7 separate regions of the Mus musculus genome follow, and all the other regions are reported to be linked to region 1. Evidence: microRNA targets listed by miRTarBase, many of them from high-throughput screens and not tested one by one. Region 1 holds a microRNA gene; each other region holds the end of a gene's coding sequence.

Evidence for each region. Region 1 holds the annotated microRNA mmu-let-7b-5p (UGAGGUAGUAGGUUGUGUGGUU, at 3,171-3,192, shown strand). A microRNA usually pairs through its seed, bases 2 to 8, with sites in the 3' UTR of a target mRNA and lowers its output. Matches are read on the target gene's strand: a 7mer-m8 pairs with bases 2 to 8, a 7mer-A1 pairs with bases 2 to 7 and ends in A, and an 8mer does both.
Region 2: miRTarBase lists Stx17 as a target of mmu-let-7b-5p. Seed matches in the 3' UTR shown: 8mer at 2,878-2,885 and 8mer at 450-457.
Region 3: the mRNA of Rpia is a reported target of mmu-let-7b-5p. The part of its 3' UTR that is shown has no 7-base or 8-base seed match.
Region 4: miRTarBase lists Homer1 as a target of mmu-let-7b-5p. The part of its 3' UTR that is shown has no 7-base or 8-base seed match.
Region 5: the mRNA of Slc8a2 is a reported target of mmu-let-7b-5p. Seed matches in the 3' UTR shown: 7mer-A1 at 3,599-3,605 and 7mer-m8 at 3,327-3,333.
Region 6: miRTarBase lists Crk as a target of mmu-let-7b-5p. Seed matches in the 3' UTR shown: 7mer-A1 at 2,109-2,115.
Region 7: miRTarBase lists Hdgfl3 as a target of mmu-let-7b-5p. The part of its 3' UTR that is shown has no 7-base or 8-base seed match.

Annotation. Positions count from the first base shown.
Region 1 is chr15:85,704,155-85,708,441 of GRCm38, forward strand. It overlaps Mirlet7b (microRNA let7b), which reads left to right and starts at 3,165; the gene lies at 3,165-3,249. Lncppara (long noncoding RNA near Ppara) reads left to right here. Exons shown (of 2, transcript NR_110483.1): 1 at 1-136; 2 at 2,400-3,370. Mirlet7c-2 (microRNA let7c-2) reads left to right here and starts at 2,449; the gene lies at 2,449-2,543.
Region 2 is chr4:48,181,235-48,185,521 of GRCm38, reverse strand. Stx17 (syntaxin 17) reads right to left here. Exons shown (of 8, transcript NM_026343.2): 8 at 1-4,023. The coding sequence ends at 3,784. Among named protein-coding and RNA genes, the nearest start is that of Mir1958, 30 kb to the left of the region's middle.
Region 3 is chr6:70,763,134-70,767,420 of GRCm38, reverse strand. Rpia (ribose 5-phosphate isomerase A) reads left to right here. Exons shown (of 9, transcript NM_009075.2): 9 at 773-1,701. The coding sequence ends at 867. Among named protein-coding and RNA genes, the nearest start is that of Rpia, 27 kb to the left of the region's middle.
Region 4 is chr13:93,401,796-93,406,082 of GRCm38, reverse strand. It overlaps Homer1 (homer scaffolding protein 1), which reads right to left. Exons shown (of 10, transcript NM_147176.4): 10 at 954-4,042. The coding sequence ends at 3,854. Among named protein-coding and RNA genes, the nearest start is that of Gm6109, 44 kb to the left of the region's middle.
Region 5 is chr7:16,158,835-16,163,121 of GRCm38, reverse strand. Slc8a2 (solute carrier family 8 (sodium/calcium exchanger), member 2) reads right to left here. Exons shown (of 10, transcript NM_148946.3): 10 at 2,611-4,287. The coding sequence ends at 3,942. Among named protein-coding and RNA genes, the nearest start is that of Meis3, 14 kb to the left of the region's middle.
Region 6 is chr11:75,702,939-75,707,225 of GRCm38, forward strand. Crk (v-crk avian sarcoma virus CT10 oncogene homolog) reads left to right here. Exons shown (of 3, transcript NM_133656.5): 3 at 428-4,287. The coding sequence ends at 565. Among named protein-coding and RNA genes, the nearest start is that of Crk, 26 kb to the left of the region's middle.
Region 7 is chr7:81,882,396-81,886,682 of GRCm38, forward strand. It overlaps Hdgfl3 (HDGF like 3), which reads right to left. Exons shown (of 6, transcript NM_013886.4): 6 at 1-3,688. The coding sequence ends at 3,683. It overlaps Tm6sf1 (transmembrane 6 superfamily member 1), which reads left to right. Exons shown (of 10, transcript NM_145375.4): 10 at 820-1,684. The coding sequence ends at 1,011. Among named protein-coding and RNA genes, the nearest start is that of Tm6sf1, 26 kb to the left of the region's middle.

The DNA of each region.
Region 1 (4,287 bases):
AGTGGCCAGGGGAGGCCACCAGGGGCCAGGCTTTCTCCCTTCTGAAGTTGATGATCATTGCTTTTGTTTCTAACCCCCAAGGTGGTCAGGAAGTGGAACCAAGCAGGAAGTTCTGCATGCCTATGGCTTCCCTGTGGTAAGTAGGGCCCCAATGTCCTTCCTCTGGAAAGTAGGGAGACTTGAGAGTAAGGAAGGCTAGGGTCAGAGGCACATCCCTGCCAGTGCTCCAGGACCTGCCCTCAGCTTAGATGTCTTTACCTAGAGGCTTTGTGCTCCCCCCAACCCCTGCCCTCAGTATTGTGCCCCACCCCACCCCCCAGCAATCTACCCCAGATGACACATCTACCCATGATATGATATGGTGACTTTTGACCCCGTATCGGCCTACTTAGACTGGGCATGGCTTAACAGAGGTGCAGTTCCATTCATCACCAGCTCCAAGTGGAAGAGACGTAGCCTCCCAACCTGAGGACAAGGTCACCGAGCCCTGAGAGACCTCTGGGGACCTCAGCATGAGGTCCCTCTCTTTTCTCTGTACCCCGGGCACCATCACTTAATCCCCCCAGTGTGATCCTGCTTCCCCCAGGCCAGGCCACTTGGTATCAATGGAGGATCTGCCAGAAGGTCTTGCCTAGAGAAAGGCCAGATGAGGGAGACAGAGGCACATCTGTTCCCGTGTTGGGCTAAGGCACAGTGCGTGGTGGCCCACTGTCCTTGCTAGAACTAGGGTGCTTGTGTCCTGGTGTTTCTCTACCATAGCTTGGGCTCTGCAAGGCTTCTGTTGCAATGAAGCCCAGATTCAGGGAGGCTCACCAAGTGCAGAAAAGGCGCTTTGGGGCTGACACAGTGGCATACACCGGCCTCCTGCTGCTAAGTAGAGTGGCTGAGAATCCCCAGGGGCCAGCCAAAAGGACCCCACGGAAATGCATGATGGTGCCCAGAGTCAGAGGGGCCAGTCTCGACCTTCCAGCCAGACCTGCCCACGTACTTGTATCCTGACAGCCAAGGGCAGAACCCGAAGTGTTGAGAGACCTGGGGTTGATGTCTGACCTCTTTCCTCCTTCAAAGTGCTTCTGGGGGCGGAGAGGGGGAGGGAGGTGCTGGGCTCAGATGGAGATGACCAATGTGGTCTCTAGCTATTCCACCACATCCGGGCACAGCCTAAGAACCGACGAGATTAACCATGGCCAGTCAAGCCTACAGAGAGGCTAAGCAGTGTGGGACACCCCTCAGCCTTCTCACCTGGGCCACCCATCATAGATAGGATCACCAAAGGGGCCCTTCACCACTCTCTTCCCACGCCTCTTCTGCCTTGCTGCCTCTGCAGGGACCATCCTTGAGGGTATTTGACCTGCCTGTTAGTGAAAGGGTCCAGGCTTGAGGCAGGGGATGGCACCCCAGTGGCTCAGATTTCCTTCTGGGGCTTGGAAGATTAGTGTTTCCTATCATCACAGGCCTGCCCACCACGGGCCAGGCCACACCAGCGCTCTGGGAACCTTGTTCCTAAGCTCCTCTGCCCCATAGACTCCGGATCTGGGGCCACAATGTGGACTTAGACCTAACGGCTTCATTTTGACCCAGGAGTTTTGGACTTGTCCCTTGACCCTTGGCAGAGAGGAAAGGAGGCGTGACAGTAGACGCTAGGGCTCATGCAGAGAGCAAAAGCTGCCTGGCTTCCTAGGTCTGGGCACAGGGCTTCCCTCCACATGCTGGGCAAACCGGTCTGAGGCCTGAAAGAAGCAGGTCTTTTTCCCTTCTGAGAGCAGAGCTACCTGAGACCAGAGACTGAGCCTCAGTTTCTTCAGCGATCTCTGCTGGCCTCTGGAAGTGCTAGTCGTTAGGGACAGACTGGCCATGAGTGTCCAGCCAGGGTCTGCACTTGCGCCCGGCTGGCCACCATGGGGAGTTAGGCTGCCTCCCACAAGGAAAGACTGTTTTGAGCCTCCCCCAGCAAGGTCAGCTCAGGCCACCCTGAGAAGAGGGAGGGACAGAACCAGAGCCCACGAGGGGGGGGCTCTTCCTGCCTAAGGGGAAGAGGGTACATGCCCAAGGCTACTACTTAGCAGGAGTCCTGGTGATTCTACTACGCTAGAGTTGAGTGGACAGAGGCTGGGTCTCAGCCAGGTGGACACTGGAAGCACCCTGGACCTTGGTGGCCTTTAACAAATGACACCCTTCCCCCATTGTGGCCATTCCTGTGCTCAGTGCCCCGTGCTTTCTCTCTCTTCTCCCCGTTTCCCCGTCTCCCCGTCTCCCCTTACTCTCTCTGTGATTTTGTTTAAATGTCCCTGGCCCATTTTGAGAAAATCCCAGTCTATTAATACCCTCAGCACTGAGCGGCCTGTGTCGGGGGTGGGGGGTGGGGCTCACCATGTCCCCAGCTCTCCTTCTTCCTCTAGGAGGGACCTCAAGAAGCCACAACATCCAGCTCTACGCCAAGACTGACTGACGGCCTTTGGGGTGAGGTAGTAGGTTGTATGGTTTTGGGCTCTGCCCCGCTCTGCGGTAACTATACAATCTACTGTCTTTCCTGAAGTGGCCGCAATATCTGCAGTGGATACAACGGCGGCCCTGGCTGGGGAGACTGAGGGAGGGACAGGGGGGTGATAACTACCATGCAAAAAGAGCCTGACAGAGACCTTGGATAGTCCCTTGACCTCTCTGGGCTGTTACTCATCTGTATAAGGGTTGGGGCATAGCGATGAAAACAGACAGCATTTTCAGGGCACCTTCTCTCCCTGGCCCACACTGAAGGGGCCTTCCTGCCCCTGGCCCCATATCAGACCTGTGCTCACAGGTCTCCATGAAAAGAGGGTCTGGACTAGACCTTCAACTATGTTCCAGAGTTGCCCAGGCTTTCCAGCGCAGGGTCAGGCCTCTGACGAGCAAGCGTCTCTTCCGAGAAGAAATTGAAAAGGAGCCATTCTTAGCACACCCATGAGTACAGCCTGCAGATGGACCGTGTAGGCCACTGTCCCCTGTCCCTGGGGCAATGGGTTCAGACACCAGAGGCTTCCTCAATCTGTTTGGTAGGCACAGGCCTTTCTCACTGAACCTCTGTCTCCACTTCCCCCTCCCCCACCCCGCCCTGTGCCCTATGGCTCTAGTGGCCTGTGGCCAGGGTGGGTGGGGAGCGGCTGGGCCTCCTCCAGAACACGGACACCGCAGGGTGAGGTAGTAGGTTGTGTGGTTTCAGGGCAGTGATGTTGCCCCTCCGAAGATAACTATACAACCTACTGCCTTCCCTGAGGCGCCCAGGGACACAGCTACATGGAGGCCCCCGCTCAGCAAGCTAAATGGAGCCACAGATTGGGTGGGGGCTATGACGTGGGACCTGGGTATAAATAAAGGATGTTCTGTCATGAACTTACAACTGGTCTTTGGTCATTTTGGAAATACGGAGACTGGCCGTAGAGGACATGAGATCGCCAACCACACATTGACACGTTTGCATGCATGAAACATTGCCAGCAAGAGCTGCTCTGGGTAGTGAACAGTACCCTCCCCTCATCTTCCATGTGCCCCTTAGTGGCCCAAGCCCTGGACACCCAAGCCCCTCCACATGAGTGGAACAACAGACCCTATGACTCCAAGTCTCAGAGCACAGTACTGGCTTCCAGTGTCCCTCAGCCTGTGGTCCTAACCAGATCTGAGAAATTCCTGGCCTATTGTCCCTTCGTGCCTGCCTCCCTTGGGACAGTATTGGGACGGCTGTGGATGTAGCTTTCTAATCTTGGGCCAAATGGTCATATACCCTTCTTCCAGGGACCCCAAGCCTTCATTCAGGTGGTGGTAGTGGGGTGAGGGTCAGCCCTCAGCTAGTGTTAGCTTAGGAAGGTAAAGTCCTAGTCTTACCTGACCAGACACCAAAGGCCTCCCTCGTGGGTGGATACCTTGACCCTGATGTCCTGGCCTTCTCCCCATAATGAATCCCCCGAGTCCCAGCTCCCGTCCTGAACCCAATCTGCCTCAACTCTGCATATCCACACACCTCCATTGACGCACCTAGGCAGACCAAACACCCCTAGAGCCCCTCTATATCCACCCTCAGCTACCAGACCTCTCAAACTTAGCCAGCCATTTCCAAAGATCTGATACTGTGCTAGCCCCAGGGTTGAGAGTACCCAGAGGGACTCTCTGAGTACTCTCTGAGAGCAACAGGGATGGCTTCCCAAAGTAGGGGCTATCTGAGCTGGGTCTTGATGGCTGTATAGGAGTTGGCAGCTAGAGACACAGGAGTGGACACTCAGACACTCCGTGGCATGCCCCATTGTCTCCTCCCTGCTG
Region 2 (4,287 bases), not on the chromosome of region 1:
CAGGCAACTTTGGGGATGTCACCAGACATGTGTAAACACCTGGGAGCAACAGTAGCATTCTTCTCTAGGATGGTAAGGTGTGGCTTGCCCAGGAGGGTCTTGCTCCAGGCTTTCACTCCTCTCTCCAGAGGCCATGTGATCAGTGAAGGGCTTCTGAGGCATTCTTGAGAAATGCCTTTGTTTTCTAACAACTCAAAAGGTTTGGCTTCTGGACTTTTACTGGAAGGAAATACTGTGTGCTAGAGATTTGTAGTTGTGTTTCCAAACTTCTTGTTATCAGTAGGTGTTACCAGCTTCCAGTCCTCACTCTGCAGAAGACATGAACACGGAAGGTGGACAGGCAGGACAGCTGTGGCTAGGTAGGAGTTTCGGGTAAACCCCAGTCCGTGCTCCAGAGGTCTGGCGAGTTCTAGGCAGCTTCAGTATGCTTCATTCTAGGCTCCTGTGTGTGAGGTAGGAGTAAGCCAACAGAAGACACAGAATTGAGATGGGGAGAGAATTGGGTCACAAGGTATGGGAAACCAGTCTGAGGCCGACACACTGGATGTGGCTTTTCTTATTTAACATGCAATTTTGTTTTTGATGGCAATCCAAAAGCAGATGTTCAGAAATAGGCTATTGCCTGCCCCCCACCGTTTGTGCCTGGCTTCCCGGGGGCATCATTTAAAGCATAATGATTAATTGATTCTAAATGCTATGAGAGATTTGTTTAAAAGTAGTGTTTACTTTTAATTATATAAAACATTTTGAACAGTGATCATAGCCTATGATATGAACCAATGTGTAGAGGATAGGGTGGGATAGCAGTGTTCATTTTATACTTAAGCTCTGTGTTCTATGCATGGCCACAATTAAGAACAGGCTGTGGACACCCGATGAGGCCAGAAGACAAAGAAGTAAACGGACAGCATGGGTTGTCCCCTGCTGGCCTTACAAGTCTCTGAGCTTCAGGGAGGCAGCACAGCATGGCAGAGTGTGGCTCAGCAGAACCCATTCCATCCAGGCTTCCTGCCCTTGGAATGAATGGAAAGACTGCAAATTACTTAATTCCTCTGAGGCCCGGTTACCCTTTCCATAAATAACTGGCAAACTGCTTGGGAAACACCAGTTCTTCCTTAGGGAAGGGTGTTTTCTGAAAACTGAGGGTGGTAATCCATTTGTAGACTGAGACTGGTTTTGTGGGTTGAAGTTAGCATGTTGAAGAAACAGAACATCAGAATGTACTGCACACAATGGTAAACATTTTTCATGGATACACGTTCAATCCTAATACGTTTTTTACTGTGGGCTACATCAAAATTTCAGAGGAATTATCAGATTATAACATCAAAAAGTCTTTAGGGGGACTGCCTATACTAATATGAAGTCTCTACAAATTTTAAGACATTAAAATGATTCTTTTTAACTAGTTGAAATAAAAATAAGACATAAATCATAGAGATGATAAATTTAACTAGACACTATGGGGCATATTAAATTCAATTTTAAGATCATTTCTGTGTCATATTGACTAATTTATACGTTTAAGTACTTTTATATCATTTATAGTTGATTAAACACTTCTAAGAAATTTCCACAAAAAGTTGGCTATTGGATTCTATTGTGGAGAAATGAAAAACAATTTCTCAATAACTTTAAAGTATAATGAAATTTTAAAGAGGACTGTAACTTCCTTAACCATTACGGTGGCTAGAGTCAAAAGCCCAATACTGATGGTTCATTAACATGCCGATGGTTCCCACATTCCCACACTGGCTCAGCGAAGATGCGCGGTCCCAAGGGTGCGAGCTTCATATCCAAGCCTCAGCCCTGTTTCTTTGGCTTCCATGTGCTGAGGCTGTTATGGCACTTACTGATGGCACTTTGGGGATTCATGGAATTGAGTATTAAGTAATGAGGAAGATGAAGTAGACCATGGGAGACTAAAGAATTAAACAACACTTCTTATCCTCACAATACTAGCTAATCAGGATGGACTGGCTGTATCGGAATTTCCCCGGGGCCAAAGTTCAAGAATCTTGTTTTAGCTGGGTATGGCAACACACCTTTAATCCCAGCACTCCGGAGGCAGAGACAGATGGATCTCTGAGTTCAAGGCCAGCCTGGTCTACAGAGAGAGTTCCAGGACAGCTAGGTCAGGACTATACAGAGAAAACATCTTGAAAAATAAAACAAAACAAAAAGGAATCTTATTTGAAGTAAAATCTGGATGCATTCTGAATGCCCCCTGCTCAGGTTTGACATGCTATCTTAAAGGAGCAGCAAGAACCAGAGAACAAAGGATGACAATAAAAGTAATTACTTAATGCCCAGTGTGTTTGGCAATATTTCAGGATCCGAAAATTATTCAAATTTTGTTTGTTATTAAAGTCTTAAGACAGCGGATAAGAAATAAATACTCAATACTTTCCGATCTTTTAATACGGTGTAGTTCTTTGTTTCATAGGGATGCACTGGTAAGACTCACAAAGCATTGAAGGGAAGGAAGGAAGTTATAACACAGAGGGAAAGGTAGCAACCCACAGAGGCCAAACATCAACTCAGCACTTAAAAGAAGCTAAGAGGTAACCCTTCGGCCCCTGACCCTGTGCTCTGGCTGCTGGTGCACTCTTCTCAGGAAGAGATGAGAGTTGCGGGACCAGTGGCTTCTTCCTATTCCTTTCTTCTGAATCTCAAACCTTTCTGTTTTGAGAGAGACACGGAGTTGAAGTGGACATGCCTGCTGTGCATGCCAACTGTTGGGTTAGCACCACAGATCTTTCCTTGGGTCTGAATCATGAGTTTTCCCATCTAGAATGTGAGAGAGGTTAAGCGTGACCACTGCGAGGACAGCGGCAGGAGGGGAGACGGCCTGGGAAAGGGCAGCAGTGACAGATGTGAGGTAGAAAGCTCCTTCTTGGACGCCCAAGAAGACTGAGGGGCGGCAATCCCTGGAGGCAGCAGGTATGCCAGCCCCTTCTAAAGTGCCCTGTGATATGATCTTGTACTCACTCCCCTTAACCTAAATAACGTTGGAAATATTTAAATTTTCTTTTTTCAACTAAAGAGATTGTAGAGATTACAGGTAGGGGTAGCTAGAAGTGGAAAACTATATAAAAAGGCAGATTATGAGGAAAATCCTTATAACATGGGTAGGAATCAGAAGAGTAGAATAGACAGTTATCTGAATCACCAGCTGGAAATGGGCTTGGTGGCTGGTTTAGTAGGTCTAGCATTGAGGTTTTGTGCTCCTTATCTGGAGAGGCAGGAAAGACTTCAGAAAAAACACCCATGTCACAATGAAGAAACTGTAAAGAGAAAATGGGCTTCTCTTTCTATTTTATAGTGTTAATTTCCTTCCCCAGAAAATACAGATGGGTCTAAGTACAACAGCCCTCAAGTCCACAAGTAGTTCACCCGTGCCCCCTGTTGAGCGGCAACATCCCTACCTGACAGAGACTCCTGAACTCGAATTCTGTTCCTCCCTATAGGAAGAAATAATTGACAAATACACTGACCTCAGGTGTCCACTACATGTCTACACTTCTTAGATCCTTAGTTATGGATCCAGTTTTCACATTTCCAGGCCTAACCTTTGCTCTTTGGCAGTCTTTAAACTTGACCTGACAGACACCCTCTGGCCAGGCTCCTCCACCTCTAAAATCTCCATTAACACCCAGCTAACAAACACATCCACTCATGGTGGTTCAACACTGCATGGACAGGGAGAGCCACTTCCTAACACTTCCAGCAACAGCAACTGCTCCTTAGCTCGGTGCACAGCAGCAGCTGGAAGCTTGGGCTTTAACTGCGTTTTTTGTCACTTTGGCTAGGGAGATCTGGACAGCTGGAAGTGAGCTTCTCCATCATTTTCTGTTTCCTTCTTTGTATCAATTTTCCACCTGTGAAGCCTAACACCCCACCACCAAGTGCAGCTGCAATTCCTGCCACTTTGAAGCCTGCGAGGAGGCCGATGGGACCCCCTACCACTCCTCCGATGAGTGCACCTGCCACAGGCAGAGCTGCCAGCTTGTATTTTGCAGCCTGTAAAAAAAAAAAAAGATTCAATTTAGAAATTGAGTTGAGAAAAATCTGCCTGTGGTGATGTGCGTTTTCCTCTCATTACTCCTGGCAATGCCTCTTTAACTCTACGTTCATAATTAACCTCAGAGATTATTCTTGGAGGGGTGTGTGTGTGAATGTATTCCACAGGTACTGCCATTGCTCCAGACCACAGACCTGAAGGAGGCAGGAGGTGTGCTCCAGATTGGACTATACAAAATGATTTTACATGCAAACTACTCAATC
Region 3 (4,287 bases), not on the chromosome of region 1:
CATGGTGATATAGTCATGCTACCGTGTGTGTGCATGTGTACATGAGTGCATGCAAGCACATGTGTGTACACCCATGTATGTATGTGCAGAAGCCAGATGTGTCCTCTCTTCTTTGAGTCAGAGTCTCTCATTGAACCAGGAGCTGGGCGATGGCCAGCAGGCTTCAGGGATATTCCTGTCTGTGCCTCCACATTCTGGTCGCCTGCCCTTACTCATCGTGGTGACTGAGTGTCAGTCGTTCATCCCTGTCACTAGTGAGCTTCAATGCTTTGCTTTTTTTAAGAAGTACTTGTTTAGGTCTTGTGCTCCTTTTTCTGTTGTCACTTACTTAGTGGCTTAGGAACTGTATTCTGATGTGACTCCTTTGTCAGGTGTATGCTTTGTGAACATCTCCCACTTGGAGGAAGCCTTTCAAGGATGGCAGTTGACTGACCATACCTGGGAGGAGTGATATAGCCTTGGAGGGTCTCTATAGCAGGCACATGGGGGGATGAAGAGGAGCCGACCTTGACACTGAGGAGGATGAGCCGCAGGCGAGGGGAGCAGCGTGAGCAGAGGGTCTGGGCTGGGATGAAGCTGGCACATTTGGGAACACAGAGCAAGCCATGATGTAGTAGACGGAAGAGCTGCCAGCAAGGAACAAAGAAAACCCCGGTTTCTTTCAGATTGTGTTTTGTCCGCTGCTGGCTTGTGATATTTGCTCCTGGGAACACTTGATGCTTGCTTTGTTCTGGGAAGCTGGACTTTAACGCACCTATTCTTCATTCTACAGGCGTGGTGGACACAGGCCTTTTCATCAACATGGCAGAGAGAGTCTACTTTGGGATGCAGGATGGCTCAGTGAACGTGCGGGAGAAGCCCTTCTAGCCCTGAGAGGAGCAGGGTCCTCACCTTGAGTCTCCAGCCCAGGCACAGTGGACACGCCTCACCAGGAGCCTTTGCCTTAATGTACCTTCATGTAGCTGTCCACAGTGCCAGAGTGGACGGCTGGCATGGGTGGGTGGGTGGGGGTAGTCAAATCCAGTCTTATGAAGTATTGCTATGTGTCTTTTTAAAAAGAAATTTAAATATATATATATTTTTACTATTAAAATATTCAGTTTTTTTATAAAATAGAACTTGATTTTATGTTTTATATGAAACCTTACCAAAAACAAAAAAAACGTATAAATAAAAATAAGAGATCAGGACTGTCTCTGAAAGCTTTGACTGGACCTGCTGGTTAACCTTCTGAAGTTTTGGGTTTGCTGAGAAAGAACGTTTTTCTAAGCTGGTGCAGGTCTCCTGATGCCTTATGGGAAACCTTGTTTACTGTTTACTTTCTTGTGACACTCTTGTGTTTTCATTGTTACCACTCCCAAATCTTAGTTACATTTTAAGATCAGGTGTAGGGAATTGTGAATGGAGCAGCGGGGCTGTAGTGACGTGGGTACAAACTCCAGGTGAGCGAGAATGCACCTTCTCTTGGATCCTGGCTTGGCTTTGCTCCTGCTGCTGTTGGAAGCCCCCGGTGGAAGCGGAAGCGCCTGCTGGCAGTGCACAGCACTGTCTGAGATGTGAAGCACTTACTTTTTGTTGTTTGAATGTTTTCTTTATGTGAATATCGTTTTGTTCCTCCGATGACCCTTGTATGATTTGGTATCAGAAGCTGTCACTTTGTGCTGTTCGAAGGTTGAAATAAACGTTACTGTGCCATTTGGATCCTTTGTCTTCTCTGCCGAGTTTGCACTCATGGGAATCAGTTTTGCTCAGTTTATGTTCGATGCGTGGGATCCTTCCAGGAACCCGAGACAGCCTAGGCAAACGCTCCTGCTGTTTCTGACAGACGATCTCCTTTAGTGAACAAGGTCTCGCGTGTCCTACCTTTGCTGCGGAGTTAGTTTTCTCTGTCTGGGTGAGGGCAGTATTGCTGAGCACAGGCCTGTTCACTCCCAGCTGCTCTGTTGGGTTGTATGGGAATTAAGCATTAGAAGAGACTGGAATTTTCTCGCTTCCCCGAGTCTCTAGTTTAGATAAACTGCCTAGTAAAGAGCTGAGTGCCTAGAAAAAACTTCCCAGAGGATGGCAGGCCGTGGCCAGTTCAGTGATGGTTGACAAGGCCTTACGAGTCCATCCTGTCACACATCCCGGTGCAGTGAGCCCTGGTTCCTCCCATGCTAACTGCACGATACTTAGCAGTCAGCTAGCTTTTCAGTTTACCTTCTGCTTTGAAGTTGGAACTCTGTTACATACATGTGTTGGTGTCCAGATTCTTGCTTAATCAAGTCTCGGAATAAAAGCTAGCCAGGTCTGAGGTTTAAACGGACATTATCCAGCCCAGTGTGCTGGTACATGCCTTTAATCACAGCCTAGGCAGGTGTATCTATTAGTTCTAGGCTAGCCTGGTCTCAGTGAATTCCAGGTTAGCCAGGGCTATACAGGGAAACCCTGTCTAAAAAACAAACAAGCAAGCAAAGGAAGAAAGGCATTCTCCCTCGGCTGTTGGTATTAGGAGTTATTATTTTTTAATCGGTTTGTCAGCAACTTTTGTGCAGAATGAGATAAGAAATTCGATAGTCAGTTTTCAAAACAAACAATTAGTGTGGTGTGGATAAACAATTTCAGAAACACCTGTTTGCTCCACTTCACATACACATTTCCTGTTGGTTTCACAGGCTTTGACACCTGTGCCGGAACTAGGGTATTTGAATGCCAATGTGAAGTTTTTCTTCTGATAGAGAAAAACAAAATACCTGGTAGGCACCAATGGGCAGCCTAGAGATACATTTTGATGAAAGAGTGAATTAAAATGAAAGATTTTTCCACTAGATTACTAAATGTGATCTTTTAAGTGACGAATGAGCTAAGCCAGTTTCAGTTAGTATCTTTGCTTTATCTTGGGCACATAGGACAAGTTGGAGTTTGGCTTAAAACTATTTAATATATTTAAGCTATATTTATATATCTTAGGTATGGTGGCACACTCCTTTAATCCCAACACTGAGAGGCAGAGGCAGGCAGATCTCTTGAGTTTAAGCCTAGTGAGTTTCAGGAGAGCTAGAGCTACACAGATACTGTCAAAAAACAAAACAAAATAAAAATTGTATTTGTGTTTCTGTGTATGAATATGTACACATGAATGTTGGTGCCTGCAGAAGTCAGAAAAGGGTATTGGAGACTGGCCTGGAGTTGCAGGTAGTTGTGAGCTGGGTGGTATGGGTGTTAGGATGTGGGAACCAAACTTGGGCCCGCTGCAAGAACAGTGCATACCCCTGAGCCATCTCTAAGGCCTTGAGTCTGGCTTTTGGGAAAGGTTTGTAGTCATGGCAGGATGCCGTGGGGGAAATCATGGGGACTTGGGTAGAACCGACTCAGGGATGGCTTCAGTCAGAGCCCACAGTGAGGAAGGAAAGTGGGTTTCTCTTGGAATGTGTCCTGTTGCCAGGCACTGCCATGTAACATTGCCACCATCCGCAGCTCCTTGTGTGCCCTGCTTTCCAGGGGCTCAGTGTAAGTACCTTGTTCCAGTCACATCCAGGAAAGCAGAGCAGAATTCTGGTTCCTGGCCTTGCTTGTACGTCTGTGTGACTGTAGGGTTTTGCCTAACTTATGTCCCTTGATAGTACCTATTAGTTGTAGTGAGTTACAAGGCCTCATGTTAGCGAATGGCTGTTTGCACATGTGTGTGCCTGTGTGCTCATGGATAGGATAATTCTGTTTATTTCTGCATTGTTGAGCTTTTTTTTTTTTTTTGGAAGAAGGGAATAGAATATTGCATGTAATCTGGTTAGAGAGTGTCCCTTGGTTAGTCTGTCAGTCACAGAAGTGATGCATAACCACTGTTTCTCCATGGCTTCTCTCTGTCTCTCCACTCTGAGTTTTCCATGAATTGGGGCCACCACAGACACAACCCAGGAAAGGAGGTTGAGAGTTCCCTTTAGCCAAAGTCAAGTCATGGACCCACCACATGAAGGCTTGCTGGGGTCGTTGTTGAGATGTTTTGGTGTTAAGTCTCAGAGGGTCTGTTCTTGTGCTTGGTCACAGTCTGTAAGGACTTGCCCAGGACCAAGAGCTGATAGGAAGCAGGAATGAATCTTTGGGCAGACATCTTAAAATTCTTACGAACATGGGAAGAAGACTGGAGGGAGGCTAGAAGCTGCTGCCACTGTAGGAAAGCAGCCATGACTAGCCAGGATCAGGGGCTGTTGCCTGGTGCTTTGTATGACTTGGGTGGAGTTCCTGTTTCACGAGTGTCCAAATATGAATGTGAGGGGTTTTTGCTTGTCTGGTCATGATCAAAAAGTGGCC
Region 4 (4,287 bases), not on the chromosome of region 1:
ATTAGGCTTAAATTTATTTTTCTTTATTTTTGAGACAAAGTCTTACTGTATACAGCCCGGGATAGTTTTCAACTCTCAGTCCTCCTGCCTCAGCTTTCTCAATGCTGGGATTAAAAGTGGGAGTACTGATGGCCAGTTTAAAACATATTTTTGTTGTTGTTTTGAGGACAACAGAATGAGTGAGTCTAAATTTTTAAAAAAATAATTCTTAACAAATACTACTAGTAGTCATATAGCGTGTATCCTATTAAAGATTTAAAAGAATGTTTCAAACTCAACTATTTCTTACCTGAAATTTTTCTTCTTTGTGAGTTTATATAGGGCTGGGAAGTAGCTCAGTGACACAGTACTTGCCTAGCATGTGCTAGGTCCTGCCTGGCTTTGACCCCAAGCACCATGAAAGAAAAAGAAATGATGTTAATTTACTTCATGAATCCTAAAAGTTTATGTTAATGCACACAGGAGACAAAAGATCAACGAAGTCTATTTGGTCTTTAAGAACAAAATTTCAAATGTTAAAATTATTTGGTATTCATCATATGCAAGGCTCAGAAAAATAACTCACAAGTGTTCCCACGGCCTGCCTCCTACTCGAGTCCCAGCATCCAGAGATGCAGCCTAAACCACATTCCAAAGGCAAACAACAGCACAGAAGGTGGAGGCTTACCTGCTGAAGGATAATGCAATCTTAACAGAGGAAAGCAATGGCTTCTTAAAGGTCATGTGGTAGCTTACCATTTCAGAGTCACCTGAAAAGACAAGCGACAAGCTCCTCCCCTAACTGCTCCCAACGTCCAAAGACAACAGAGCATCGCAGTTCTGAGGGTGCTGCAAAGTTCCTTTAGGGACAAGGAGCAATGCAATGTCATGAATGTTCATTTTTAAGTCTAGAGAGGCAGAGCGAGAGAAGGGGATGAAGAAAGAAGAATAAAAACTAATTTTCCAGGCAGGGAAATACTTATAAAACCTTTTATGTCAAAGTTAGGATTTTAAAACATCACATACTAATGCAGAATCCAGTAGCACCTGTAGGGTTGAAGTAAACGCTGCCGTCCCTTAAACGCTTAAGTAGCCTTAGAAGACTGAGGAGACGATCAAGTACATTCTCCAGAGAACAAATGTATTTCAAAATAAAAACTGTATTTTTGTTTTTTTTCCAGTTTTTGCTTTTGTACAAGATTTCATAGTTATAATAACTTATACACAGATGGGACTGACCCCTGCTCTCCTCCTGGGTCACTGCAAGTCCACATGTTCAGGCTATAGTCCCCAACACTATGTTCTGATCAATATATTACCACAGTTTGATCTAAATATAGATACACTATATAATATTTATCTCTGGGAAAAATCAAATTTTAATATGCAAATGTCTATATAATACAGCGGTGGAAAAGCTACAGTAGGCACACAACCTATAGCTCAGAGGCGATGAGTTCTGGAGGCTCTCCTTGTGTGAGTGACGTACCTATAGCTCAGAGGCTATGATTTCTAGAGGCTCTCCTCATGTGAGTGAAGGTTTAAAATAGTCAAGAAGAAGGTTTTATTTATATGTGCACTTGTGTCCACCTTATCCCAAACACTGTACATGTCTACTGACAAGCTGGGAATTTATAGGTGCAGCCCTCAAGAGATTGTTAAGTTACTAAAAAAAGAAACAATTAGGCTCTATTGGACATGGAAAACACTCACAAAATTTTCCAATTTTAAATTTCACAGCAGTAGGAAAATATTAAAAATAATTTCTGTATATACATATAGGTATATGTATATATTGAATTACACATATGCCTCACATTATCAGTACAATTCAAGTGGAGACATTTTGGTGAGTTATTTTCCCATTAAATGATCACTATGCCAAAATTTAAAAATATTTTATTACATCATTAAAATAATTCGCTTACCATATCAACAGCTTACACTGTTTTTTTTTTTTTTTTTTTTTTTGGATTTTTTTTGAAACTCTTCATAACTAAATTCCCTGATCCCTAGTGTTAGTCCTCTATTTAAATGAAAACGTGGTATTCTTTGATATTCAGAAACTCATAGATAAAATCATATGTTTTCAAAATTCTATCCATCAAATAAATTTTATTACCTGATTTCTCAGAGAAGTATCTCATCTCTGAGCATGTGTACCCAAAAGATTCCTTCTATAATAGACAGGTGAGGGAAATACCCTAAGGTTGATGGAGGTGACAGGCAGGATGGAATAGCACAGAGAATACATGGTGGTCCAGTGTCTGATACACATGTGTCAGAGACACCTTACTGTAGAAACTACCTTTAGAAACAAACGATTTATTTTCATTCTAATATAAATTAGTATGTATGTATTGACATACATACACATAAATATAAAACATACTAAAGAATCTGTTTGAGTGAGAAAGATGGGTTAATCTGCTTAATTTGTATTTAACAATTCAATCATTTGGGGTACAAACAAAAAAAATTGGGTGCATTCATTGACTCCAGAGTTAGGTACCCAAGCATACACTAAGAAGAACCCTCTTCACTATCACAGGCATTGTACAGCAAGATACACGATTCTGATGCAGTTCCTACTCGCAGAGCAGGCAGCACTTGGCTTACTTTTAAATTGTTTTGTGAAAGAAATGTATCATATAAAGAAATGCATGTTTGCTAAATGTCTTAAAATTACATCAAAAAAACAGTAAAACCTGCTCTTGGAGAAGAGTCTGTTGAAGGTATCTCCTGTTTTGAAATGCCTAGTTAACAGTTCAAAATATAGCCTTGTGAAGTTTGAATAAAGACATGGTTTCTGTGAAGACCCATCTGCCACAGTCACAATTTAGATGCAGTCCTCTCGGCTTGACCGCTAGGTGGAAGTGGCCGTCCTTGAAAACAGTTATATACCTTAAAATTATCTATAATAAACAGTGCCCCCTAACCATTATTTTTCATAAATTGAAATGCATTGATCACTCAGAAAAGATTTCTTGCCAAATATATAAATAAATGTAACTGCATATTTTCTGTAAATATACTTAACATTGCTAGACTAAACCGTCAAGGACGGACTGCTGTATTTCAGTTCTGTGTGTCAAATTTACTATAAATTTAAAAAGAAAAATATCTGAGGGACTCAGCTGCCTTTGTTTAGTTGGCTTTAAAATGTATAATAAACTGGGAGACAGTATCCTCTCATAAATACATGGAATCAATATGGAAAAGTAAACTATATAACAGACAAGATTGGAGATAGCAGAGTGTACCAGAGTAGTCACTAGAGTGAAAACACTCTCAGTACAAAAAGGGAAGAACTCCAGACACCCGTTGATAGTGAGTTTCACTTAGAGGCATAGCTCCCCAACTCCTGGCAAGGATTAATTGGTAATGGCCCTTTCTCAGCAGCGAAAAATTATCCTGAGAAATTATTCAGATAACAACAAAGACAGGGCTTCCATTACTAAGTTTTTGCACAAAACACAGCTGTAGATATCATAAATAAATTTAAAAAGCATATAATCTTCACTGTGTTGAACAAAAGAGGAGAAGGGACCCAGACATTGTTAATTCTCCCATTGGCTAATATCAGGGGGAAAAGATTGCATTAAAGTGTCTACTTATAACTTTCCAGTTAACTATGGCCAATATACATGGAGGTAATTTGTAGTTCAAGTTTTTCATGTCTTTTTTTTTCCCCAACTAGCTATAAGCTAAATTCTAAAATTTATACTGAAATATACAATTCCAATTTTCAAAACACCCTCCTCCTGGAGGAATGATATTCAAAAAATTTTGTGCAATCTTGGTACGGAGCCCAAACAGTCCTAGGAAGACAGACAGCATCTCTCCATCTATTGGCACTGAAATTTCACTCTCTTTAGCTGCATTCCAGTAGCTTGGCCAAATTATCTCGTAATTCTGTTAGTTCAAATATTTTTCCATCCAGAATTTCTAGGAGTGTCTTCAGGTTACTGCGGAAAGCCTCTTGTTCGTTCTGGCTCTTCTCCAGGCGCTGTTCTAGGTCAGACAGCTGCCCCTCCAGGTCTTTATTTCGAATTTCAACTTCCTTCAGAAAGAAAAGTATAACACACATACATGTCAGTTCATCCTTCAGACGACAATGCATTCCTACCATTCCTAGTGTCCTCCTGTAAGTCTGACAATCAGGCTGTGCCTCTGACATTCAACTTCATACAATTTAAGGAGATTTGTATTCAGCCATCTCAGAAAGCCACGGCTTGGTTATGATACACCTGACCTCTCATCAATAGCAAACCGCTGCTCCTGTTTCACGCCATGCAGTTACAGGGC
Region 5 (4,287 bases), not on the chromosome of region 1:
GTGGCCTTTTAGAGAAAGTGTGTCACTGTGGAGACCCAGCTTTGAGGTCTTAAATGCTCAAGCTACACCTAGTGTGAAACACATCTAGTCCCTCCTGCTGCCTGGGGATCAGGATGTAGAACTCTCAGCTCTTTCTCCAGCACCATGGCTGCCTGCACGCTGCCATGCTTTCTGCCATGATAACAGACTGAACCTCTGAAACTTCAAGCCAGCCCCAAATTAAATATTTTTTTCTTTAATTGCCTTAGCCAGGCAGTGGTAGCATGCGCCTTTAATCCCAGCACTTGGGAGGCAGAGGCAGGCAGATTTCTGAGTTCGAGGCCAGCCTGGTCTACAGAGTGAGTTCCAGGACAACCAGAGCTACACAGAGAAACCCTGTCTCGAAAAACATTAAAAAAAAAGAAAAAAAAAAGCATTGCCTTGGTCATGGTGTCTCTTCACAGCAATGAAGCCCTAAGACAAGCTCACACTACAATGACTGATTTTATGTGATGTGGGGGATTGACCCCAGGGCTTCATGCATATGAACCCAGCCCTCTACCACAGGAGATGCAGTCACAGCCCACTGTGATTTTGAGGTAAGGTCTCACTCACTCTGTAGCTCAGGCTGGCCTGAAACTCAGTCCTGCTTCTGCCTTCTGAGTTCTGGGATTGCAGGTCTGTGCTAATGGTTTCATCTTAGAGTGTCCCTGAGCCCTTCACCCAATCCGTCACGCCAGATTTTTCCTCATGAGCATGCCATCTTGGAAACTTGCCTGCCACCTGGGTTTCCCTCTGCTCTTCTGGTGTCTCCCTTGCCTTCATCTCTCTCACCCATGCACACTTTAAATGTTGGAGATACCCCGAGGCACTGTTTCTGTTCTTCCCCCGGGCAGCCTATGCCAGTCCTGGCTTGCTGACAAGTCCCAGATCCCCCTCTCCTGCAGTTTCCTTTTCTGAGGGCCACAGCACCCTAGACTTCTCTCCCCTGTTTCTTCTGCATTTGACAGCCCCCCCCCCCCCCGCCACCATGTGCTCTCCTGCTCTCTTCATTCTAGACTGACAGGCGCTGGCTTGAGCCCGTGGCTACAGGAGCTGGTGGGACCTGGAGGGTAAGATTAGTGTGCTCGCTCATCCTTTAGTGCTGCTCTCAGGCACTCCATGTGTCTGTGTTGCTCATGCTACCCCCAGCACAGCAGCTCGATGGGCCACTGCAGCCTCTGCTCATCTTGTGTCCAGGGAGGGCAGCTGCTTCCTTTGTACCCAGCCCTGTGGTGGCATGGGCACCTTCCCTGTCCCTACCCGAGTCACTTTAAGGTCTTTTCCCTAAATTCCCCCTCAGTCACCACCTCTTTCCAGCCGATAGGTCTTCCTGTGCCTTCTCACTGGCTTGATCTGTGACCTGATTTCCAACACCCAGTCCAGCCTCCACTCCTCTTCTCCTGCCTGAGTTCCTGATTTCCAACCTCTGATATCACAGGAAGTCGCTGATATCACAGGAGTCTATGAGGAATGCTTAAAATTATAAATCAGGAGCTGGAGAGACAGACGGCTTGGAGATTAAGAACATTGACCCGGCAGGGTACAGTTCCCAGTATCCATTGCGTGGCCCACGATTGCCTTGTTCTGGGTATCCAAAGCCCCCTTCTGGCCTTCGCAGACACTACACGCACATGATGAACATACGTACACAATCAAAGTACACATACACACAAAACAAAAAAATTATATAAATCAGCTGACATCATCTGCTGGCCTGCTCCTTCTAAATTTCTTCTGAAGCAGCCCTTTGCTCTTAAATCTTAAGCCTCCTTGTGTGGCTATTACCGGCTTTTACACTTGGTCCTCTGAAGGTCTCTCTGCTCCCCACTCCATGCAGGAAGCGCGTCTTTCGTTTCTGCTCATCCTTTGTCCCACTCTGAAAAAGCCACTGCCTCACACGTCTGTACACATTAACTTTGTACTCATTCCCTAGAATAATCCACCCTTATGAAAACACACACACACACACACACACACACACACACACACACACACACACACACACACACACACACACACCTCCTGTTCCATGCATGATTCTGAGAAAGTGACCTATTTTATTTAGGAAACTTCATCAACCTCAGCTCCCTCTGGCTCAGGCAAATTAGAGTCCTTCTCTTTTGCAATCCCACAATATCCTATGAAGAGGAACCATTTGTGGCTGGTGAGTGGGGTGTGGCCAGCAGAAGCTCAGGACTGTGAGGGGCGTGGCAACCAGGGCTAGGTTCTTGGTTGATGGGTGGGGCATGGTACTAGAAACCTATGGCTGCTTGGCAGGGGCGTGGCTAGTGGAGGCTCATGATTGATGGGTGGAACATCAGTACTAGAAACCAATGGCTAATGGGCAGGGGTGAAACTAGTAGATGCTCTTGGCTAATGGGTAAGGCGTGGTACCAGAAGCCTATGGCTTTTAGTTATGGTTGTGGCTGGTGGAGGCTCTGGTAACATTGAATGTGGTTAGCGTATGCTGGTGTCCTGCTGTCTGGCCAACTCTAATGCAAAGGCTGCCGGGTCTGTTTCCTGTGGTCTAGATGTCGGAGCTGCTACCATCCCTTTCCTCCTGCACCCCAACTTCCCACGGGAGGACTGTTCAGGCAGAATTTCAAAGTTTTATGGCAGTTTTTTACAGAAACCACAGAGAAGGGACATCAAGTGATGCTGATGAGCAAGGGGTGAGAAGGGCCGTGGGTAATGGGTCTGATGCACAAATGGACAAGAAAATGCAAAAATAATAACTTAGGGAAAGCAGAAGGCTGTGAGGGTGGCAGGGTCACCTAAGGTCGCAAGGAGTGGGCAGCACTCCCCGTTCCCCAAGGATGTCTTTTTTGGGGCAGGAGACATCAACAGTAAGAAAATGCAGGTGGCCTACCAACAGATGTATGGCCTGCAAAGTTAAAAATGCCCACCCAGCCCCCCTCCCACCCTCCCCTCCACCCCCGCCCCCCAACAGGCAGAGATGTGGCAGCATTTGCTGGCTTGTAGCATTGGTCCTCTGGGACCCTCGGTCTCCTCTTCGAGGGTCCTGCCCAGATTGGCTGGCACTGAGAGCAAAATAAACCTTCTAGACTAGAGTACTTTCGTTAACCCTTCTAGAATACTGTCAGGGGAGGTCAGGTGGGCTCCCTTTGAGTCTCAGTCTCATCCACTAAGCTGGTTCTCAGGCTGAGTGAGTCCTGCTGCCCTCTCAGAAGGGAAAGTCTGTCAACGCCCCTTTCCCCAAGACATGCACCCTCCCGTGTCCCCCCTCCCCAAACACACTATATACACACACAGGCTCCTCCCTCCAAGGCGTGGCTAGGCTCTCAGAGGTAGTGGAGGGTGAGTAGGGCGCTGGAATGTCAGAAGTAGTGGGTTCAAGATGTGCCTCCTCTGGCTAAGCCTGGGGGACAGATACTCCAAACGTCCCTCCTCCATCTCCAAGCCTCTGAGTGGATAAATCAGGGAAGGTGCGTGCCTTTCTCCCTGCTCCCCGCACAAACCCCTATTCCTTTCCCTGGGGACTGCAAGGGAGCTCCCTGAGGGTTGGGGTGGTTAAGGGCAGAGATGGATGGCGTCCTGGGATGGCACAGCCTCCCTCTGAGGTACCTAGGGAGATGTTCTAAGACCTGGGCGCACAGGTGGAAGTTCGTGGCTTGAGGGAGGGACACGAGAAGACAGAATCAGGCTCGGTGCCCAGAAAGACCGAGAAGTAGTGTCTGGCCAGGGGACTCGGGTTTACCTCACAAAGGATGGGCTGAAGGGGATGCAGCTGAGAAGGGAGGGCAAAGGATGGGATTCCAGGGGGAAAGGGAGGCTGATCCCAGGAAGAAGGCTGAGGAGGAAGAGCCTAGGGAGCGCCCAGGCTGAGTCTGGGTAGAGAGACTGGTGGGTCCAAGAGCAAATGCCACCAAGTCCCCACCCTCAGGGCGGTGGCTAGGGCCCTAGAAGCCCCGGATGTGGCAGTAAGCCTCCAGGCTGGAGAAGAGAATGTAGAGGAACCAGAGGCCCAGGAAGAGAGCGGTGGTGGCCAGCTTGGGTCCCCGCGGGCCGCCCAGCTCGCCGCCAATCTGCGGCCGGCGCCGGTACAACAGCACTGCGATGCACACGAAGGCGAAGACGGTGAACAGCGTGACCGAGAAGGCCAGCGTGCCTGCACGCACCTCGAAGGGGCGACCCTGCACCGCCCAGTATACCGCTGCCACCGACCAGGCCACACCCAGGCCCAGGAACACGTTCACCGCATTGGAGCCGGTCACGTTACCGATGGACGCGTCGGCACACTGGTCC
Region 6 (4,287 bases), not on the chromosome of region 1:
ATGAGAGAGAGTTGTCCTAGGATAGGGCCAGGCGTGCTGCCACATCTGCCAAGGAGGGCTAGGCTTTGAATCCCCTAAGTCAGATGATGTGGGGTGTGGTGGGGGCGGCTGAGGATCGTAGAACAGAGGAGACTATTAGCTCATCTAGACATGCTGAGGTTTGCAGAGAGTATCATCTTCTAGGGTCCTTCTTACTTTCTGTATTCTCAGTGTCTTTCTTCATTGCTAACACCACTCCTTCTTTTTGCCTGCATTAACCACAAGTTAACCAGTCTGGTGGCTGGGGCTGGGGAGGTAGTGAGTAGCCATTTCTATAACATCAGCCCTAGAGCAATCACGTGGGCAGGGTGTGCCTAACAGAGAATGGAGATTTTCACCTTGCATTCTTAACTGGAAATAAAGTACTCTCCTTATTCTCGTCCTGCAGGTCGGTGAGCTGGTAAAGGTTACGAAGATTAATGTGAGTGGTCAGTGGGAAGGGGAGTGTAATGGCAAACGAGGTCACTTCCCATTCACACATGTCCGTCTGCTGGATCAACAGAATCCCGATGAGGACTTCAGCTGAGTATAGCTCGACAGTTTGCTGACAGATGGAACAATCTGTTTCCCCCCAATTGCCATCTATACAATTTTCTTACAGGTGTCAAAGCAGTCTAGTTTATATAAGCATTCTGTTACCTGGGATCTTTTTTAAGACTGAACTACTCCATTCTCACTTGTATTTACCATATTCAGGGTACGAAACCGGAGGGCTTATGTGGTTAACTTCTGAGTTGGCAGTTTTAGGTGGTAGTTGCCGTGCCTGTATGAGAAGACGTAAATACATTGCCTCCTTTCTTTTGGGCAAAACAGATCAACCTGTGGAAAGCTGATGGGCAGGAAAAGAATGTTACTCACTGCTGACCCTGATTTCTTCAGAGGTTCTGTTTTCATCCTGAATCCATACTGTCAAGTGGCAGCAGACTGTTCCCCACTCCCATGACGTAATCATGCACTGTGTGAATATTACCCAGTGGGGTTGCATTTGCATTTATGGACCATGACCATTGTATGACTCATTCTGACATTTCAAATCCTGAGGATTCTGAGAACACTACTAGAGGCATTTGTCTTCCTTGGATTTTTCTTGGATTCTTTCCTTGTTACTCTCCTCCCCTGTACCTATAAGTGGCTTGATTCTTAGGATAATGTATATCTTCATTCCAGATGAGAAGCAGGATGTACAGAGCACTTTATTCAGTGCATAGCTTTAAGCCAGTATTGGATTCACTCAGTGGATAAACTCCCAGCTCTCTGCCTTCCCCCAAGGGGGCATCGTAGGTTCACACTGCTACCACAGCTCAAGACTCACCTTACTGATGGGACAGATCTGGCAGGGCCATTTTTCCTGATTGCTAGTATCCTAATGGGATGCTCAAAGTTCTCAGATTCTACTTGGAGTGGAAGGACCAATCACTTACTGTATCCTATAGAAGGTATCAAGGGCCAAACTTTGCCCTCTGCATCATGTGCAAGTTGTATAAAAGGCAGGTTAGAATTCTATGCATTTGGGTAGGATTGATACTTTGAAAACTATTCCAGTCGTAAATTACTTATGTATCATTTTACATGGTTTAATAGTTGGTGAAGTATATTACACTATAAATTGCCTTCATTTGGGTTCTCCTTTGTCCAGATTTAGTTTACAACCCTTTAAAGTAGAGAATGATTTATACGAGGTCAGATGCTCCAGAGACTAGGCCTCTGAGGCCACAAATTATAGGGTTTCTTTAGACTGTAACATGAGACTTTCAGGTGATAAAGGCACTTGCTGGTCTCTGGTGTAGGTGACCAATAGAAACACCTTATACTTTGCTTTGAACCTCATTTTAGAAAAATAATTTACCTTCTTAGTTGTCTTGTGTAGATTAATATGATGAATTTGCATTCATTGAACATATACCAAATCATGTGACTGAAGTGACTAGCACATTGCTGAGCACGTGTGTAGAGATTTTGTACGAAAGAATGAGCAGAGTGCAGAAGCGTGTTGTATGGCCCAGGGACGCCAGTTGGCATACATTACCACAGGCAGATTTAATGAGTTGATGCTAATTTAATACATTTTTTACCTCACTGTAGCTTGATAAAAACAGTAATACTCAACTTTAGAGATGTTGGCCCAGTTCTGAGCTCATAATAGGTGGTCAGTGATACTGAATGGACAGGTTTGTAGCACGTGACTTACTGCACCTGACTGCTTGTTTCACTTTTCAGTTAGCATAGATTGTGTAAATCCAAATGCACAGTCAATCCTGTTTCCCTAAGCCTTGTGTGATGGTGAATGTCTTTAGTCCTAGCCCTTGGGAGACAAAGGCAAGTGGATCTCTGAGTTCAAGACCAACCTGGTCTACAGAGCTACTTCCAGAACAGTCAGGAGTTAGAAAGTGAGACCTTGTTTCAAAAACAAAAACAAAAACAAAAAAGAATCTGTTCCTGAAATTATGGCATCGAAAACACTTCTTAGAAAATCATCGTCACAACTGATTTGAATGCTGGTATTTTCTTTTGCCTTTGATGCTGGCTTGTATTGTCTCTTCACTATATGTGGTGGGAATGGGATCTGCAGCTCTCCGTGAAGCCTACGAACTCCTCAGTGATTAGTTATTCAGAGCCATTACGTGAACTGTTTGGTTGGATTTGGCTGGGTGTAGCAGTTATTGGACCTCAAGAGATCAAAGGACTTCTTACAAATATCTTCCAAAAATAGCAAGTGCTATAATCCTAGTCAGATGCGTATGTACATTGTCACAGAGCAAAGTAAACTGAAATTGGCTGCTATGTTTTATATAATCACTTCTGCAAGAGCCCATTTTTGGATACTAATATTTGACATGGTTAATTCTTATTAATTTGTTGAAAATGTTTATTAATAATGCAAATAGATAATTTTAATTTTCCACAAGTAACATTTCACTATTAATGGTTTGAAATGGGTGATAAGCAAACCAATTTGAAATAAAATATGAACATGTGCCATTGTATTATAACACTATTCACTTTCTTGACAGTTAAATTTTAAAAATGTTTTTTTTTTTGTAGCATGTATTGTATATGTTTATAGTATATGTAGTAAATAAAAGTATGGCCAAATGTTTGGCTTGGTGATCTTTTGAGAAAGTAATCTTGAAATATTTTTCACAAAAGTGAGTTTTTGTGTTTTTAAGGAATAGAAGGTATGTGTCTCAGCTGTTCATTAGTAGTTACGTAAACTGTTACATGGTGGGTATGCTATAAGATCTCTAGAAAGTATGACACTACTGTTAGGAAACATGAAAATCATATATATGGAATATAAAGGAAGCACATTGTGAACAGAGAACACCAGACTTGCCTGGAAATGGGTCTCTGTGAGTGTAAGATGGCAGTGTGATAGGGAACTCTGCAAACTTGAGACTGCATTCTCTGTTGTGAGAATGCTGCTGTGGATACGCCATTCATTTCTCCTTTTTAATGTAAGTAGCAATTGCTCAGGGAAAGTCCTAGGGGAGGAACAGCAGCAGAGATGATGCGTTTCTGTGTGTCCATACCACCCGTCCCCAGAGTGCAGTGCACTCCACATTGACACTACTCACTCCAGTATTGGAGCTGTGGCTCAAGTTTCAAGGTATGGTGGCCTGTGCTGATAATTCCAGGACTTCTGAAGCCATGGGATTCCTTGAACCCAGGAGTTCAAGGTCAGCTTAGGCAACTTAGCAAGACTCCTGTATACTAAATACCTAACAGACAAATTTTACCTATTATTGCCTATATGATACTCTGCCTTAGACTCAGCCTCAGCCTCCTGGAGGCTGCCACAGATGTAGGCCTGTTTAGTGCAGAGCTAAGGGAAAATGCCGCCTCCAGGGGATCCCGCTTTAGCATATGCAAAATTAACAGCAAGGTGGAAAGTGTTTTCCAGCTTCTGACAATAAAATAAACTGTCCACCGCTTTACTATGTTGAATGTCGGGTTCCTTTACAAAGTCTCAGTGTTCATACAGCCCATGTCTCGCTCAGGGAACTTCATCTGGAGGGAGGGGTGCCTGCATAGGAGGGGTGGGAAGAGGCCCAGAGCGGATGGTGGGAGCTGCAGGAGCTACCACGCATGCTATAATGAAAGTGAGCTAGGGTCAATCGCTCATCCCGCCCTGGACAGTCTCCTTCAGTCTTCCTCATGGTCCAGCTCCCTGTCCACACATTCACATACCCTTAGAGATGTTCTCAAACCCATTTACCTTCATGGTGCTCCTTTCAAATAGTACTCCCC
Region 7 (4,287 bases), not on the chromosome of region 1:
TTTTCTCTGTGCTTATGAAAAGTACAAAAAACAAATGAGCCAAGCAAAATTCAACTGGCACATTCTGAATAGTTTATAAACTATCCCATGTAAACAGAGGGAGCCCTTGCTGTTCTGTTCTGAAACTTCAAACATGCTGACCAGTCACAATTCTAAGTAGATTTCAGTCTGATTTGGAAAGGCTGCCTGTGTATATATTTGCCATTTTATAATCATATTGCTATCCACAGCCAAGCTATTAACAAGCTTACCTTACAAACAATCATAGTGCTATTAAGTTACATAAAACCAAACACACGGATGAATAAGCAGTACATGTGATGGTCTCTGAGCTCTGGCATCCAGTGGTTGGTCTGAGACCCTTAGTGCTTCTCTCTAAAGTAGCTCCTCATACTAATTACAGCTTAAATGTTAAAACCCAACTTCATTTGTAATTCAAACCCAATTTGTGAGACCTTGCTGAGTGTCTATATAGTTAGTGTTCCTAAGATTCAAATTAGAAAGAGGGGGAGATTTTGTTGTTGTTGTTGTTGAATTGAGCCAGTATTGTTTGTTATTTGGCACAGGATAGGTTAAAAATACACAACTGGAATAATAAAATCACACTTTAAGAAGGATACATTATTTGAATACTTATATCAAGAACAACCTTAAATTTAGTGAAAGATTATATATTAAGACTGGATTACCTAAAGGTATTTTGCCTTTAAGACAGGTTTTGAGGGCACATGGTCTGAATGAGACACTCAGAATTCATCATTAATCCAAGTGAACAGAGCTCATCCTTACTGTTTTTTTGTTTTGTTTTAATATAAACAGGCTCAGTTTTCTCACATTGGTGCGTCCCTTCATGCTAGAACTGCTTATGTCTACAGAGTCCCCGAAGAAGCGAAAATCTTTTTTCTAGCACTAAACATAGCATATGGAGTTCTTCCTCAGCTCTTGGCCTACCGTTGTACCTACAATCCCGAGTTCTTCCTAAGAACTAAGGCAGATGAGAAGTTGGAATAAACAAACATACCTCACAGTTCTCTCTGACCTGTTAATGGGACTGGCGCTCTCCTTTATCCCCTCCATACAGGAATACTCACAAGAACACACTTGTTCTGCAGCATACATGTGAGTGAAACTAAGGGTAGTATCTGGGTATATTCTCAGTTTTGAAAGAAAATTAAAGTTGAGAAACAGCTTTTTTAAGGAAATATATCACCATTTGTCTATGAATGTGACCATTGATTTTAGCATTGTTTGCACATAGTATGTGTGAAAATTACAACTCTAGTGCCTACAAAAAGCATAAAAATGAAACTATTCAGAAGTAACTAACCATACTATGCATAAGAAATAATTCAAAACAGCAATTGCAGGTTGGAGAAATGGCTTCATATGAAATGTATGAGTTGTTGACAATCTTAATATAAATGCCAGATCATCACAATATTTTTAAATTGATTCAAGTGTTTTCACAAGGAAAGCATATTATTTATTGCCATTTTAAAAATTGCTGTCAAAACTTCTATTGTGAATTTGAATAGCTAAGATGACACAAATCAACTTTATTAGTTGCCTTAATGAACACTTGTTTTATTGGTTGATAATATTTCTCTTGTGTTTCTGTGTATACCTTCAATACTGTGTATACCTTCAATAAAATTATTTTTGGTGTTTATGAAGATAAACTTTATTAATTTTGAAGCATTTTATATATACATTTTCATGACAAATTTTGAACTTTTTATTTAAGAAATCTGTGCCAGGTAGTGGTAGCACACGCCTTTAATCCTTGCACTTGGGATTCAGAGACAGGCTGATCTTTTGAGTTCCAGGCTAGCCTGGTCTACAGAGTGAGTTCCAGGATAATCAGGGCTACACAGAGAAACCCTGCCTCAAACAAACAAACAAACAAAAAAACCTTTGTTATATGTTCCAATTTAAAAATGCTATCTACATTCTCCATATGTTTTGCATGATAATGAAGAGATCTTTTGTCAAATTTCATTATTTTAAACTAAAATATTTAAAATTAAAAAGTACCTTTTAAAGAAAAAACCCTGACTTAACAGCCTGTCTCTTAATGAATTTTCCATACATGGAACTGCGTGAGCACAACAGGGGACCACTGATTGCTAACCGGCAGGAGCAAGCCCAAAGGACAGTGATGTCCTGGAGGGAGGGGTGAGTAGACCAGTGCATCCAGAGCCCCACATCACCTCCATCTTCACAACGACACTGGGCTCTTAGGTCTTCTTCTATTTTCTCTTCACGTTCATTAGTTCTTCAACACAGTAAGAACACCAAAAGCAAACTGGATGCACGGAAGGCTGTGTGTAAATGCAGGGTCCCCTGAGCTGGGCTGTCGCAGACGTGCAGACAGCCCCTGCTGCTGCAGCTCCTGCTGTTGCTCCCTCCTGTCCCCCCACGGCTTTCACTTAACCTAACATCCAGAATACTTAAAAAGAAACATGATAGAAAAAATAAAATTTTCACCTGCACTTAATTCTAATGTCAATTTGCTGTCAATCTTTGCTATAATACAAGAAACACATTAATACTTCACATTACACATATGAAGCCAAATAACACTAACTCGGCTGTTTATAACCTCAAACCTTACTCCCAGTACACATTCCAATAAATTTATTCTGTAAAAACAATACATTTTTTTGTTTTTGATTTTTTTTTTTTACAGTAAACTTCTCAGCTACAAACCTCAAACACACACAAAAGATCTTCCAAGGACAAGCATAGCAGGGTTGATGAGACCCAAACTGACTAATGAGTTCTCACAGTATAAGCTGGCATAAAAATAAATAAGACTCTATCACCACAAGAGCGACAGTAATGCACACGTAACAATGGTTGGCGGATGAACGTTAACTACTCTAATTCTAGTTCTAAAAGAAAAGTCTATTTTAAACTCTGTACTCAAGAGTCAATGCTTTGTTTCCCACAGTGCTCCTGCTGAGCTCAGCTTTCAGTGTAAAGTGACCATCTTGAGGGATTGGCTCAAATTGTATTGGCTTTGGGAAAAAAAATAAGTCCTTGCTTTATTTTGGTATGACACAAAAAGACTCAGTAAGTTCACATATAAACTTAGTTTGTGGACACAGGAACATGAGTTTTGAGAAGTATTAAGTTTCAACTAGCTATTTCTAATACAGAATAGGTATTGTACATATGGTTAAACTTTACACATGGCCTTAAAACTGAAAGATGACTCTAACTTCATCTCCAATACACCAACAGTATGTATCTAGGAGTTGGTTCTTGGGTTCTGCTACAAAGAAAATCCCATCCTGAAGTATTATGTTGAGCAGTCACCTAACAATATGAATTACTGTTTAGCTGAGTATCTGATGATGGTGGGAGAGAGGCAGGAAGCTGATGACTTGGAAAAGGAGCCTAGACACAGAGAAGTCTGCAAAATCTTCATCATTCTTAGTGATTAAGGGCAACTTCATGCAACCAAATAACATAAAATAAAGTCAACCTTAAAAGGGTTAAAATGTCTCTTTTTCCTTCAACAGAACAGAGAGGAATGTGACTAATGCACACACATACTGGGGCTCTGTCAATGACAACAAAGACCGTTGGTTCATATCAAATCCAAATCCAAGAATTAGACAATCAAACAGTTAACCTTCTTGTGGTGTCTCTCAATATGCAGCATTCATTACGGTAGTTAGGTCTGTAAAAAAAAAAGCAAATAAAACAAGCCTTAGATGAGCTAGGACACTACCGAGGGAAGCTCATCACCATCACCCTGTGGGCACTGGGTTCTTGTCCTTTGCAGTCTGAGTCAGCATCACAGCAGCAGTACTTAACGAAACAGCGTCAGAGGCTTTGCTTTCTATCAACTAAACACTGACACGCTACGTTAGTATCCTGTTCAAAACCAGACAAACCCTAGGGGTAACCTCTGTTGCCTCTCCAGTGGAGGAAGCTATGGCAGTGGCACATGCTGTACCACTCAAGGAGGTGAGTACTGCTGCTGCCCACCACACTCCTAAGAGAGGTGGTCTGTCTGACCGGGGTGAGCAGTATAAGCTGAAGGCCATCTGGGTGCACGCAGACTGTCCTTCACAATACTTGCAACTTTAGTTACTTGGGGCACACATGGTGCAGCAAAGTACAGACGTTAACAACTTCAGTATGTCTAGTCTCTGACTTTGCACTTTTGAAGAAAAAGAAAAAAAAAAACAACAGATGAAACAAAACCGTCCAGATTTTCTTTAAAACTTATATGGCATGCATATGACAAAGATAAAATATTCCTGCTTTGTAAAA